2 linked regions of the Diceros bicornis minor genome follow. The protein of the gene in region 2 interacts with the protein of the main gene of each other region in a pairwise test. Links are inferred from orthologs where the notes say so. Each region holds a gene or a part of one and is shown on either strand. Other genes may lie near its edges.

Region 1 (7,468 bases), on a different chromosome or scaffold from region 2:
TTACTGTATAATTTATATTAAAGCTTCTTCCAAAGTTTCTGTGTATAACTTGAAAACCATTAAATATGATTGGCTACTTATTAGAATAATTATCAATACCCTGCAAACACTTCATTCTCCTAAAACCAAAAAGACAAAGATAACAGGGGTCCGGTTTTTTCCCACAATTGAGCACTAAGAGATCAAGACTGCAGCCGAACCTAGTTTTTCTGTGCTGGATCAGCAGCTCCAAGAGGAGAGGGCAAAAACTGAATTTCACCGGCCCTTTCCAATAAAGGCTGGCACAAGCAGTCTGATCACTGACCTAAACCCAAACCCATATGAAGAGACAGAATACAGTAAAATACACAGTGACAGTTCCTACAAAATAAAGTTGAGCTTTGACCAAGGACAACAGTCCTGAAAGGCTAGAGACAGCAAAGCTGAAGAGTCCCTGAGGACTTCAGGAGGAATTTATGGAGCAAAGCTCACCCGAGGGTCTACGTACACTGTCAAATAGTTAAGGACATTAAAAAAATCTCCATTTCCACGGGAAAATCTTATGATTTCCACATCCTTTTGAGATTAATAAATGTTTCTATTATATGTGAAACATGTTTTGCCTTTGATTCTTATCTGCACTAAGCATTCACTTATAATATTCTAACTAAATTAAAAATTTTGAGTGTTAGAAAAGCACAGTCCAATACAATTAGGGCAACAAACCTCGAGAGAGTAGCTCTCTAACACCCATTACAGATAAATTTAGTACAATAACTACATAAATGGAAATTATGAGCTGTTTGCTTCTGAAAGAACACACTTGAAAAAGAACCAGAATGACAAGATTTCCATTTTAACTACAAAATTAACTAAAGATCTTTAATACAGATCTCAAAAGCCAGACCACCTGGATCACAAACAATTGACTGAAAAAAAGTTTTAAACTAGACTACAACGCTAAGTGAAAGAAGCAGGTTGCAACTCAGTTTGTATCATTTTAGGAAAAAATAGCTTTGTGCATTTATGTATATAAATGCAAGGTGTTAACAGTAGGAAAAATACGGGATTTTCACTTTCATACGTTTCTCAATTATTTAAAATCTTATAACAAAAATGCATGACATTTTAAATTTTCAAAAGGTTAAAAAGTGATATATTAGCACCAAATGCAGTTTCACACTATTCTAAAGGATAAAATATTTACTTGCATTTGTTAAAAAAATAAAGGGAGAGAAAAAGCTTAGCTTTCTTCAATTCTTTCATTATTGTGATATTTATCTAAATAGATTTATGAGAAAAAATGGAATACAAAAAATGTACATTATATCTCAAGTTTCTATCACTGTTTAAATAGGCTCATAAACTTACTGGCCTACCAAGAGGTCTTCAGATATCCAAAAGCATTTTAAATAATTTTCAACATCTTTATTACAGTGACTTGACTTGCTGATTCTCAAGCAATATTGCTGCACTGACCTTTCCACAGATAAAAGTCAACGTTACCTAGGTGTAGGAGTCAAAGCCCAACACTTAACTCAGGAGTTGTTCTCTCACGGCTGGGATGCACAGTTTCTATCAAGCAAAGAGCAAGCCAGTAAAGACGAGCTGACTACACCGCCGAACATTGGCTGAAGCAGTCGAACTATATAGTCAAACCTTAGGACCACTGCCTAATTTTAGGAAAAAGGGAAACACGGGTGGAGTCTTGCTGACTATGCCACTGTTGCAGTTCAGGTGAGAAACGACTCGCACACCCTCCCTCCCCAGATAGACAGTAGTACACCAAGCTTCGCACTGGAGCTTCTGGCTAAGCAGGGAGGGGGAACTTAGAATATGCCTGTCGGAAAGGTTAAAACGTTTTTCTTAAAGCAGCCTGAGTCACCGACAACTCACACATCCCATCAACACTACGTGCAGTGATGCAACACGATGCCGGCTGACTGCTGGAAGCCGTAAGGGGCCGGGTGCAGGCACGGCTCGGAAGGCGCCAGCACCCGCGTCCACCCGCCGCATTCCGCTCACGGCCCTGACGTCACAGGCCCCCCGCGGTCACCAGGCCTTCCCTCCATCACAGAGGCTCGACCCTCGGCCCCGGGCCGCAAACCCCTGCTCTCGCCGCACCCAGGGGCCGGAGGCGCTCCCCCCCACCACGGTTCTCCTACCTCCCAACCCGAATCTTGCAGAGCTTGGGCTGCAGGAGGAGAAAGTCCCTGCTGGCTCTAGATTTGAGAGCCCTGGGATAGCGACCTCACTTTTAGCCCCCACACGGCACCCCAGCAATATCCCTCAACTTTGCCCAACTTGGAAAGGCTCAGTTTCGGGGCTCTGAGACCCCCAGCCCAAGCCTGCACTCCCCCAACCCCCAGAAGGGACCGTGAGAGGCCAGAATGGGCGTGCCACCCCCCCATCCCCGTCTCTTTTCTCAGCCACAAGGACCCTCAACTCAACCAACTGCTCCCCGAGCCCCCTCCGCTCTCTGCAGCAGGTTCCAGCGATCCCAGTCTCCCAGTGGGGTCGTGGGCGGCTGAGGGTGACCTCTGTGACCCCGTTCTCCGTCCTCTCCTGCCCACCGTGCACCCCCGGGGGCGTACCGGGCGGCTGCGGGCCGGCCCCGGTGCTGTCGGGCTGCTGCGCGCCGGGGGCCGGGAGGCTCTTGCGCTCCTTCTGGGACTCCCTGCGGCCGCCGCCCGCGCCGGCTCTGTGGCCCGAGGCCCCGGCCGGGCTCCTGCCGCCGCGGTTGCCGGCCCCGGCCGCCGCCGCCGCCGCCTCGTCGCGCCTCTTGCGCTGCAGCTGCTGCTGGCGCCGGCGCTCGGCCTCGCGTAGGATGTCGAACGGGTCCGACTCGTCGTCTAGCAGCTGGTGGAAGCGGTTGGCCACGACGCAGCCGAAACTCTCCTGCATCGCAGCGCCTGCGGCGGCCGCAGCCACGGGGCTCCCTAGAGCGCCTTTCATGCCGCCGCGACCACTGCGGGCCCGCCGGAGCAGCCCACGCGAGCGAGTCTCAGCGAAGCCGGCGGCGACGACCCATCCCGCCCGCTGCGGCCGCCCTCCCTGCCCTGCCTGGTCAGGTCCCTCCCAGGGCCCGCCCCCGCGCCGCCGCCACCGCCCGCCCAGCCGCCGCCAGATAGCCAATCAGCGCGCGCGGACACGCCCCCTTTCCTAGCCGGCACAACTGGAAGCCCAATCAGCGGCCGGCTGCTGTCACGTCGCGCGACCCCTATGCCCCTCCCCCGTCTCAGCAGGGAGGGGCGGGGCCCACGGGGCGGAGCTACTGGGAGGAGCAACGAGTCTTGTGGTCCAGGCAGCTCCGAGGTGCATGGGTCACGGCCATTATTTGTGTTCTCTTTAGGACTGGCTCCGCATTCGTTATCGGCCACTCCGCTTTTAAGTACATATATTCGTTTAGCTATTCAACAACTGTGTATTGAACATTTACTATGTGCCAGGCGTTACGTTGTAGAAGATAATAGCTCCGTGTTTTTATGGATCTTAAGTCTGTAGACAGAAAAGTGCCCTGAAGGAAAGGCATAGACCTCTCTTCCAGCCTGTAGCAAAGGGACCCGACCTAATTAGCAAGCTTGGAAAGGTTTTCCCTAGGAAGTGACGGTTAGGCTGAGATCTGAAGGAAGGCGAGCGCAGGAGCAAGGGCAAGTGCAGAAGTTTCAGGTGGGATGGAGCGCAACCCATTCAAGCTCAAAGAAAACCAGTGAACTGTATTGCAAAGAGTTGGGAGAGGGCCTTGATTGGTCATTGTTCTAGGAGCAGTGGGAAACAACTTTTAGGCATGAGCATGTGTTTGAAAAGGCCACATAGCTGCTATGTGAAGGACTAGGTTGGAGGGAGGTCAAAGGGAGCGCAGCGAGACCGGACCGAAGACTTGCAGAGCTCCAGGGAAGAGCTGATGATGGTGCCTTGGACTAGGCTGGTGCAGTGGAGGTGAAGAGAGTGGTAGCTTCAAGAGCTATTTTAGAGGTTATATCAACAGGACTTGGTGATGCACTAGATATGGGTGATGAGGAAGAAGAAAGGTGTGATGACTCCTGTTTTTCTGACTCGTGCAGCTGGGATGGTGGTGCTATTCACAAAGAAACAGCACTAAAAGAGACCATTTTGATGAGAATCATGAGTTCAGTCTTGGACATGTTGAGGTTTGGGTTTTGTTTTGTTTTGTTTTTTTTCTTTTGAGATATTCAATTGACGCCTGGAGCTCAGAGAACACTGAACTGGACTTCCTCCGGGATATCTTGCCTAGACCTTGGCTGCCTATCCTGCAGCCCTTTCTTTCCCTCTTACATTTTCCCGGAACCTGTATTTTGTTAGGGCATCAGGTGGCTGTATGCCCCAAGGGAACCTGGGCCCACTTCCAGCCTCAAACTTGATTAATCTTAAATCATGCATTGTAATTCCATTCCGTTGCCAATGATGAGTGTAGGAATAGGCTTGTGGTGCAAATCTGGCAGAACAGACCTGATGGGAAGTATTCTGGGGGATTTCTAGGAACATTTTTCTTATACCTAAAAAGGGATTGGGAAGGGATCTGCCATCTTCCCACTTCTCGTCTTTGGTCTTTGTTATGTATGGAGGCCATGACGCCTAGAGCTGCTGTCCCTGATTGTGACTATGAGGATGGCGGAGCGGAAGGATGGAGAAGCCTCGTTCCTCGTTCCCCGATGTTGCTGAGCTGCTGACATCCCACTCAGGAACTTCCCTACCTCAGACTTATTGTTACGTAAGACAATAGATGCCACCATTGTCTAAGCTACTCTTAGTTGTGCTTGCTTCTTGCTTCTAAAAGCATCCTGTTAGAGCGTCTTGCTCAGGTCTGTCATTACCAGCTTTTACTTTCTTTTAATAGCAAATGGAAAAGGAACCCTTAATCCTAACTGCTGCCAGGTCTGTGTTTTACTCACTTGTTCAATTTTCTGTCATTCCCAAGGAGGACAGGGAGGAGGCCTGTCTTATTCATTGCAATTTATGTTCCCAGTGCTTAGCGTTCTAGGTAGCTGTACAGTAAGTTCTCACTAAGTATTTGTTGAATTACTGAACACTTTAAGATATTTGGTCATCTCCTTCTTGGAGTCAGCAGAGGTTTATGATAAAAAGCCTATATTTTATACCCAAAAGAATTGAGAGCAGGTGTTCAAACAAAAACTTGTACTTGAATGTTCATAGCAGCACTACTCACTATAACCAAAAGGTGGAAACAACCCAAATGTACATCAACTGATGAATGGATAGCAAATTGGTACAATGGATTAATATTTGGCTACAAAAAGGAATGAAATGATACATGCTGCAACCTTAAAAACATTATGCTAAGAGAAAGAAGGCATTCATATGATTCCATTCATTTGAAATATCCAGAATAGGCAAATCCATAGAGACAGAAAGCAGAATAGTGGTTGCCAAGGGTTCTGGGTGAAGGGAATGATGAGTGACTGCTTAATGGGCATAAAGTTGCCTTTTGGGGTAATGAAAATTTTCTGGAACTAGATAGTGGTGATGGTTGCACAAAATGTGAATATACTAAATACCACTGAATTGTACACTTTAAAATGGTTAAAATAGTAAATGTGTATTTTACCATAATTTTTTTAAAAAGCATATATTTTGGAATTAGACCATGATTTGAATCCTGGCTCTGCGAGTAATTAACTTTATGACCTTGGACATGTTCCTTATTTCTGTCTGTCAGTTTTCTCATCTGTAAAATGGAGAAAATAATGGTATGTACTTCAGAGGGCTGTTGTAAGGACTGGGTCAGATATTGCATATGAACTGTTCAGCACCAAGCCTGGCACAGAGTAAATCCTCAGTAAAAGTCATTATCAACATTATTAGTATCAACACCATCATTTTGAATCAGGCTTAAGACTAGGTAGAGTCATAACAAGGTCTCATAATTATGAGGTGAATGAAATTTCCAGAGATTCTTCACACACCAGAATCACCCCATGCACCAGATACCATACCTTGAGAAGCCCTGCTTCAAGCCAGAGTTGTCTCTGGCATCTTTAAGCTGCCGTCACTAAGCCACAACACAAAGACCATTACCACTTGAGAGAAGGGCCTGTCATGTTCCTCCTGGACATCTGGAGATAGCCTGCTCCCCCATTTTCCTCCAGTTTCCTTTCCAACATAGCCAGCCACAGCAAGTTCTTAAGGCATGCGCTGCAGGCACTCCCTCCTGATATCCAAATCATAACTGCCTAAAACAGTTGTAAAGCAACCAACTCTAGTTGCTTCAAGATTAAGAACACCTTTAGAACTGTTGAAATAGAGATGAGTAGGGCCGGCCCCGTGGCTTAGCGGTTAAGTGCGTGCACTCCGCTACTGGCGGCCCAGGCCCGGATCCCAGGCTCACACTGACGCACCGCTTCTCCGGCCATGCTGAGGCCACGTCCCACATACAGCAACTAGAAGGATGTGCAACTATGACATACAATTACCTACTGGGGCTTTGGGGGGAAAAAAAGGAGGAGGATTGGCAGTAGATGTTAGCTCAGGGCCGGTCTTCCTCAACAAAAAGAGGAGGATTAGCATGGATGTTAGCTCAGGGCTGATCTTCCTCACAAAAAAAAAAAAAAAGAAATAGAGATGAGTAGCTTCTAACTGATATTAGCTGGCTGTGTGTTTTTTATGGGGCTATTGTTTACTGTAGAATTTACTGATGGTAACTTATGAAGCAGCCTCACATTTTTCCATGACCATTTTTCTGCTGGGAGATTGCATCCCTAAATGCATTCCTAAAATACACTCCACCACATTAGCATGAGTTATTTGCGACATTGCGCTTAATGTGGTCAGTGTAATAGACTGATCTTTCTAATAATTCAAGACATAAAAACTATCTTTAGTAATTATAATACCAAACAGACAAAAACCCCACACACGCATGTCCATACAGCTTAGAAAATAAAGCATGCCAAAAAAAAAGCAGTGAGGTGTGGATGCCCTTCTGTAGCAGTTATTTATTGGCGCCAGTGGAAATGCAGTGAAATTTAACTACATACAAAAGGTAAATTACCTTGACTTACTAAATATCTGAATTCCATTAGGAATAATAAAATAAAATACACTAAAATCTTCCAGATTGACTTGAAATTCACAGAAAGATCGGTCAAGAATTTAAAAGCATGCAGCTTGATTACTTTTAATTACATGCAGGGAGTAGCACCTGGGTGAGGGCCAGTGGAGAGGGGCCCGTCTGGCTGTAAAGGGTGTGAACTTTTGTGAATCACTAGAGAGCTGCGTTCCACGTGCTCTGTTTTGCCACTGGATTACTGCTACCTCTTCGCTTATCTTTTCTCTATAAAATTAGGATGATTATAATCGGCCCTGTGTTCCTCATATGGTTGATGGGAAAATAAACCAAAGAAGTAAGTTGGGAAAGGTAAAAAAAAAAGTGCATTATTTTACAATTGTTTCTACTTGCATTTTTCTTAAAAGAATATCCTCTTTTTTGCCAGTTGAGCCAATTGTGATA
Region 2 (7,118 bases):
GCTGGCCTGGAGCCCAGACTCTCCCACAGCCCTGGCTCAGATCTCGGGAAGACTGCGAGGGAGGAGGGCGGGCGAGGAGCGGGAGGGCGGGGCCTGGCAAGCCGGAGAAAGCAGGAGGAGCCTCGCAGAAAGCCTCGCCTCCCGCCCGCCCCTCTCTCCTTCTAATCTCACCATCAATCTCTCACACATATATTTATTTTTTCTCAAATTCCCCTCCCTCCCCCACAACGAACCACCATAATAGGTCTGCTGCACATGCGTATTGCACGCAGGGGGTGGGTTTGTATTTTCAGACCTTTTGCAAAGAAACTACCAGAATTTTCCGCACCACCCACAATCATTCCCCACCCCCACCCCCAAGGAATCACATCTATATATTATGTTATATTATTTCTCTAGACTTGCCAGAAGGGGGAGGGAGAAGAAATGAGTTTTTGGCTTCCTGCTCCCTTCCCCCATCAACACGAGTGCTATTATTTTAAACGTTTAACAATGTAAGGAGACTGGAGAGGGGGGAAGGGATAAAATTGGTCTTGGGTAAGAATGTAAAACAAAATGGTGAAAATCAAAGCAGTCAGAATGAAAAACAATAGAAACCCCTAATACGTACAAATTCATATTCTAGAGAAAAGAGGGAGGGCAGCCGGAATAAATTTCCTTTAGGAGGGTTATTTTGCTCACACTTAGGTAGACAAAAATAATGAGCAGACTAAAAATATTTTCCCAAAGTTTTACCTCAGAAAGTCATCTGAGGGGGTGTATCTGGGTCACTCATTTGACTCGGAGGGCTGAAAGGGAGATAAATTGCCCTGGGAGAGAGAGGAGGTGGTTTTTCATTTCAAATATAAAAATTTAAAAACATTGACGTTTCTTCTCGTCTACTCAGAAGGCAGAGTTGGGAAAGGGAAGGGAGGATTGACACAAAGACCCATCTCGACCTCAGATTCTTTCATGCTCCTCTTTCTCCCACATACCCAAATCCGGGATCAAAAACACCCAAACACCACATTCCAAGTTCGGAATACAAATAGATGAGAGCCGCCAAACCCCTAACCTAACCTGACATCCTTTCTTTCCCTCTTTTTAGCACCCCTGCTGTTTTCCAGGCAACCCCCTCCCCACAATTCTTTATTCCTTTTCCCTCGTGCAAATCAGTGGGCTCTCTGGGATAACTTTCTAAAAACTTTTCCCTTTTTCAGAAAAGATTGGTGGGGGGCGGGGGGCTTTATTCTGTTTCCATCAGACATACATCCTTCTGCCCCTCATAAGGAAACATGCCACATTCCCTCAAAGGTTGTCTCAACTAGACAGGATCATTTGCCACATAAGCCACACAGATCAATATAACAGTTTTACAAAGAGCATGATGTTAGATGTTTTGAAGTTTGGTGCATTTGTGCAGCACAGCACCCAGAGGCCTGAGGTGCGGATGTACCCTTTCATTCCCCAAGCATGGGGTGTGAACACTCTAAAGATGTTCACCTATTGTAAAGAAAACTAGAAATAACTCCACTAGGAGGGTGGTCTGAGTGAGGCCATTGCTGGGCCCCCCATGCAAGGCAGCGGTCTGTCCCCTCCGCCACTGGTGGAACTGCCCAGAATGCCGGGTGACTTATCCCGGGGAGGGGTGCTGAGTGATGGTCAAACTGCAGAACAGCTGGGTGGGAAGTTCACGACCCCCAAAGTGGTCAGGGTGTGGGTGGTTTGAGCGAGAGAGTGAGTGACAGTGAATGGCAGCCACGTGAGAGTCACAGCTGGGCAGCTCGGCCACCCCAGACTGACGGGGTCATGGAGGGAGGGGGGGCGCACTTGACACAAAGGAGCCCAGAGCAGAGGAGAGATAAAGGGGGTGGAGTTGGGGGCATCTGGTTTCCCAGACACTGTCCTCTCGCTCCCCAATCTTAAGTGACTGCTCTGCCTATTACGAACTGGGGGGAAAGGGGGTAGGATCAAGTCACATTCCAGGAAGTGGTCTGCGTGGAGTGTGGCCACCACCTGCCCCTAGTCGTCAGCCGCCCACAAACATTCACACGACCCCTCCCCCATGTGCCACCGCACGCCCCAGAGTTGGCGGGCACCAAAGTCCCCGCAGGTGGGGGGCTCCGCTGGACACCCACTCCCTCCCCCCGCCTTCCCAACTCCAGAGGGGAAGGAGTTAGGGCCGCGGTCGGCCCCACACGTCGAAACCCCACTTTACCTCAATCCAACCCCACCGGGGCCGAAGCCCGAAGGGCGCCCGCACGGCCGCCCCTCCCCCACGCGCCCCTCCCCCACGCCGCCGTCCGGCCGCCAGGGTCTCCGCGGTCCCTCGCTCGGCCAGGGAGGGGGCCCTGGCTTCGCCTCGGCCGTTTCCTGCCTACCCCCTCCCCGCCGAGGGTAAAAAAAAATCTCCTCCTCCTCTTCCCCCGAAAGCCGCGACCGAGTGGCCCGGTCCGCGCGCGCAGCTCGCGCCCAGCGCTCTCCAGCCGGGGCGGCGGCGGGCGGCGGCGGCGGCGGGGGAGGGGTGCGGCGGGGGAGGGGAGGAGGCCTGGCCCCGCGGCCGCCGCCGCCGCCGCCGCCCGCCCGGACCGCTCGGACCGCCGGGCCCGAGACGGCGCCCGCGCCCGGATTCGCTTCGGCTCGGCCGCGCGGTGGGTGCCTCGCCCCCGCCCGGCCCCGCGCGCCCGCGGCTCCCACTCGGGCTGGGGGGGAGTCGGAGCTGCCGCTTACCTGGCGGCGGGGGTGGCGGCGGCGGGGGCAGCAGTGGCGGCGGCGGCGGCGGCGGCGGGAAGAGGTGGCAGCCGGGGGGGCTGTGGCGGTCGCGGCCCCGGTCGTGGCCCGGCCCGCGCCCGAGTACTCCTTCGTCGTCGTCCTCATAGTCCTCGTCGGGCGCCTCCACCTCCTCCTCCTCCTCGTCGCCCTCTTCTTCCTCCTCTTCTTCCTCCTCCGACACCACCATCTCCTCCTCCTCCTCCTCCTCGTCCCTCAGAGGGGAAGCCATCCTGTGGCTCTGGCCCCCCCACCACCCCCCCACCCACCGCCCGCCCGCCTCCCCCACCGCTACCACCACCACCACCTCCTCCTCCTCCTCCTCCTCCTCCTCCTCTTCGGCGGCGGCGTCCTCCTCCTCCTCACCGCCTCCCCCAGCCCCCCAAACCCCCGGGCCACCCCCCTCCAAAACCCCCACCCCCGGGGCCGCCGTCTGAGGAGGGGGGCCAAACCACCCCCAGAAATTTTCTTGGAAAAAATTGAGGAGAGACTTTTTTTTTCCCCCTCTCTCCTTCCTCCCAAGAGAACAAGAAAGGGGGATTAAAAAAAATATATATATATATGTATATAAAAGTTTTCGACTTCTCTCTACCTCCCTGTCTGTTGCTTTAAATATATTTAAATTCTGAGGGGGGCGCTCAGAAATATTTCTCAGAGCTGAGGCACTAAGATGGCCGCCTTGAAATTATTTTTAAAACAACCCCCCCCCCCAGCACCGCCACCCCCTCCATGAAAAAAGGGAGAGGGGGGGAAAATCCCCTTTTAAAACAAAATGGCTGGCTTAATATTTCATTTTTCACCCCCCCATTCTCCTCCCTGTTACACCCCCATCTCCAAGCCTCTACCCAGAAACCCACAAATTTCTCCCTTTTTTCATAACTGATTAGTGCACAGATTAATAGAGATATTTTCCTTGTGTACTGAGTGTGTGTGTGTGTGTCTATGCGCGTTGGGGGGGGCATGAAGGACTTCTGCATAAAACAAAAATGGCTGCTGTGACTAACTCCCCCCTTATAAAAAAATATTTGAGGGGGGGCATTAATCAGTACTCATGCTCAGTCTGACATCAGCATAAATTGTTAAAGGTTAACTAGTTAGATACTAGTCCAACTAGATTTAAATTTTTTTCTTTTCTTTACTAGTCTTCCTCCCCACCTCCCTTCTCTTAAAGAAAAGCTTTTTTTTTTTTTTCTGAATACTTCAGAAGGGAGTGGTTTGATGTGAAGGTTTTTTTTTCCCCTTCAGGCATTGAAAAGGAGAAAGATGAAATATATGTTTATGTATAACTCTGTTTCTACATACCTCATTGAAGTCAAAACGCATTTAATTGTATATGTATCTTTTAAGTGAGAAGCAGTACTGGATTTTTTTTTCTTTCTTTAAAAAAGTAATAGAAATCCTAGTGACTTTTGGGGGAGAGATATGAATAGATAGGATGATTGAGTTTTTTTCAAAGGAGTCCATGTTTGATTCTCCCCTTTGCCCAGCCTTTTCAGTGATTTATAATTGTTGTAAATTTTATCTTCACTCTTTTCTCCTTTACCTCTCCCTTCCCTCCCCCAGTTGCTTGAATATAAAATTCATCTGATTTGGGGAATTAATTTAGGGGTAAATAGAACAGATTTTTAGAATAAAGGGGAAAGAGTCAAGTCTGAAGATTGTGAAATTATTTTCTCTTTTCTCCCGTTTCAGTATATTTCCCTTCCTCCATGGTCTCCAACACTGATAAAGTAGAAGAAACTGAGGTACCGTCAAAGAGAAAAGTAACTGGGACTGAGAAAAAGAAAGAGGTAGGGGGTTACACTCGCATTTTCATCTAACTTTCTGACCCATGATTTCCCACTGTACTCCAGTGTTATCTTAAAAGTGGTACCAGGAGTCAGATGGATTGAAAAGGAGTCCGAAAGTAGCTTTCTCACCCAGAGATGTGAGCAGAGAAGTCATAAAATAAAACTTGCCAGTTGAGCAATGCTAGCAAAGGAAAGAGGGCAAATAGCTCAGTTCTACCCTTTTTCATTCTTGTCACCCTTTTCTTACTCCAGTTTCCTCCCATTCTTTTGATTTCATGTTGCCCCTTTCCTTGCTTCCTATCCCATGCCTGTGGAATCATTTCTCTCCTGGGTTATTTCTCTACCGCTTAAGTAGAGCTGTCAGCCACCCAGCAGCCCCTGCAGTGTTCAGAGCACCTTAAGAGGTAGGGATAGGTAGGCAGCAACCAGAAAGTATTAGTGACAAAGAATACTATGCAAATTTTTGCTTAGGAGGCTAAAATGTTCTTTATTGATGTGCCACCCCCCCCTACATAGACTAATACACTTTATTGAGCATTGATTTCCATCTTTTTCTTAACCTGGCATTTGGAATTCGCTTGCCTCTGTTCTCATATCATTCCTGTATTGAGTCTAACTCCTGTCCCTCTTCCATTCAATTTTGTTCTGTTCTCTTTCTCAGTCTCTCTTTACTATCCCCCTTTCTGCATATGGGCTTCTCTGTATGTGTGTGTTTATTTTTTCACAGAGACTTTCTTATCCCTTTGACTCTCAGGCTCTGTCACCTCTAAGTGACTTTTCATCTTTGTCTTCTTTCTGCTTACGTCTGTCTTCCAGGCCCTGACTGTATGTGCCTCTTCCTCATGTGTGCCTGACTCCCCCTCTTTCTGGCCCCTCTGTGTGTGTCTGGGAAGAGTGTCCCCACATGTGTGTGGGCAACCCTGCACATCATGTGTGCCGCAGTCTCTGCCTCTGTGCCCTCTCCCTCTGTGCTGAGCGCCTCTGCCTGCCTGCCGCATGTGCCATGAGCTGCAGGTGTGAGTGGCTAAAGGTGGCTGTGTGCATCCCTATACAAACATTCGTCATTCTCTTGAGTGTGCTTTGCATGTAAATCTGTTAATTTGCCTGATTCTCCCTCTTGTCCATCTCCCACTCTGCCTGCATCTCCTCTTCTCTTTTTCTCCTTGCTGACCTCTTGATTTTTCTTCTTTCCTCGTTTCTACCTGCCTCTCTACCTGCTTGCTCCTGTTACGCTGTCTGTCTGCCTGCCTGCCTGCCTGCCTGTCTGCTTCTCCCTGACTGGCTGGCAGCCTCTTTCTCTCTCTGGTTGTCTGTCTGCTTCTCTGGCTGTTTGCCCACTGCTCGCTCTCTAGCCATCTGTCTCCCCGCCTGCCTGTCTCTATCACTTTTTTAGCCTTGGTCTGTCTACCTGCCAGGCCCTGCCATGGTTCCCTATCTTGGTTTGCCTCTTATCTTGCCCTTCTACTTCTTCCTCCTCTTATTTATGCCTGTAAAGTTCATGATTTTTCCTTGCCTCCCTTTATGATTGTCTTCTTGCCTGTCTACCCTACTTGCTTGCTGCTATCTCACTGTTTAATGCTTGTATCTTTTTAGTCTGTCTGCTTATCAGCTTTTCCTCCCTTAGCTTCCTCTATACCAACATCCTGTCACTGGTGACGGTCTCTCTACCCCAAACCTCTCAGTGACCCCCTTGCCCCAAACTCTTATCTGCCTTCTTCCCATATCCCCTACCCTGCCTTCCCTCACTGCTTGCCTCCATTTCATTTGTCTCTTCTTTTTGTCTTGCTGGTTCCTTAGACAGTCTGCCTGCCTCAGTCTTTTTGCCATTTTTCCAGTCTCTCATTGTCTTCCTGCCTTTTTGTTGGCTAGCTGGCTGGCTCTTGCTGTCAACATCTCTGCTTGATTTTCTTTTTTCTTCTTTTTTTTTTCAGTCAACTTTTAAATAGTACATACACATTGTACAAAATTTTTAAAGTACTAAAAGTATCCTGTGAAGAGTAAGCCTCCCTCCCATCCCTCTCCCCCAGTCCCCTAGTTCCTCTCCTCAGAGGCAGTCACTACTTCATAGTTCTTGGATATTGTTCCAGAGAAGAATATACACATATAAAAGTCTACTTGCTTTTTGCTACACTTCTTCCTGCTTCTCTCCCAGTTTTGCTGGATGCTTCTTCCTCTTGTCAGTCTGTCATTACTCCTTCCTACTTTGCTGGGCTTGCCACCTCTTGCCTCCTGTCTTTTTGATTCTACTTTATGGCACTTATCTTTTTGATTGACTGGTTGCTGGTTGCATGCTTTTACTGTCAGCACCTGAGGAGCATTTAGGAAGGGCTTGCTCTCTCCTAATCTCCTATTTTACTTTGCATAATAAGTTGTTTTGACAGCACACCTTTGCTGGTCTCTTTGTCACTGAACTATGTATTAATTGAGAAAAGACATGAAAGCACTGGTAGTACTGAAAAATACCACATAAATATAGGTACAGTTAATAAGTACAGAGAGTTTGTAAGCTGAGCTTACATGCGCAGAGAGTAGGTGGAGGCCCGCTCTGCTTTTCCATAGTCTATATGAGTTCTTTCAAGT

What was found.
Region 1: the proteins of CHD3 (region 2) and HABP4 interact in a two-hybrid assay, tested with the Homo sapiens proteins (3 studies listed by BioGRID and IntAct). The link is inferred for Diceros bicornis minor from reciprocal best matches to the Homo sapiens genes CHD3 and HABP4.

What each region holds. Positions count from the first base shown.
Region 1 is NC_080761.1:3,916,075-3,923,542, forward strand, and holds the start of HABP4 (intracellular hyaluronan-binding protein 4), read right to left. Parts: upstream 3,017-7,468; 5' UTR 2,935-3,016; coding exon 2,574-2,934; intron 1-2,573. UniProt on the Homo sapiens protein: Ribosome-binding protein that promotes ribosome hibernation, a process during which ribosomes are stabilized in an inactive state and preserved from proteasomal degradation.
Region 2 is NC_080757.1:10,508,191-10,515,308, forward strand, and holds the start of CHD3 (chromodomain-helicase-DNA-binding protein 3), read right to left. Parts: upstream 3,005-7,118; 5' UTR 2,981-3,004; coding exon 2,710-2,980; intron 2,631-2,709; exon of another isoform or gene 2,569-2,630; intron 1-2,568.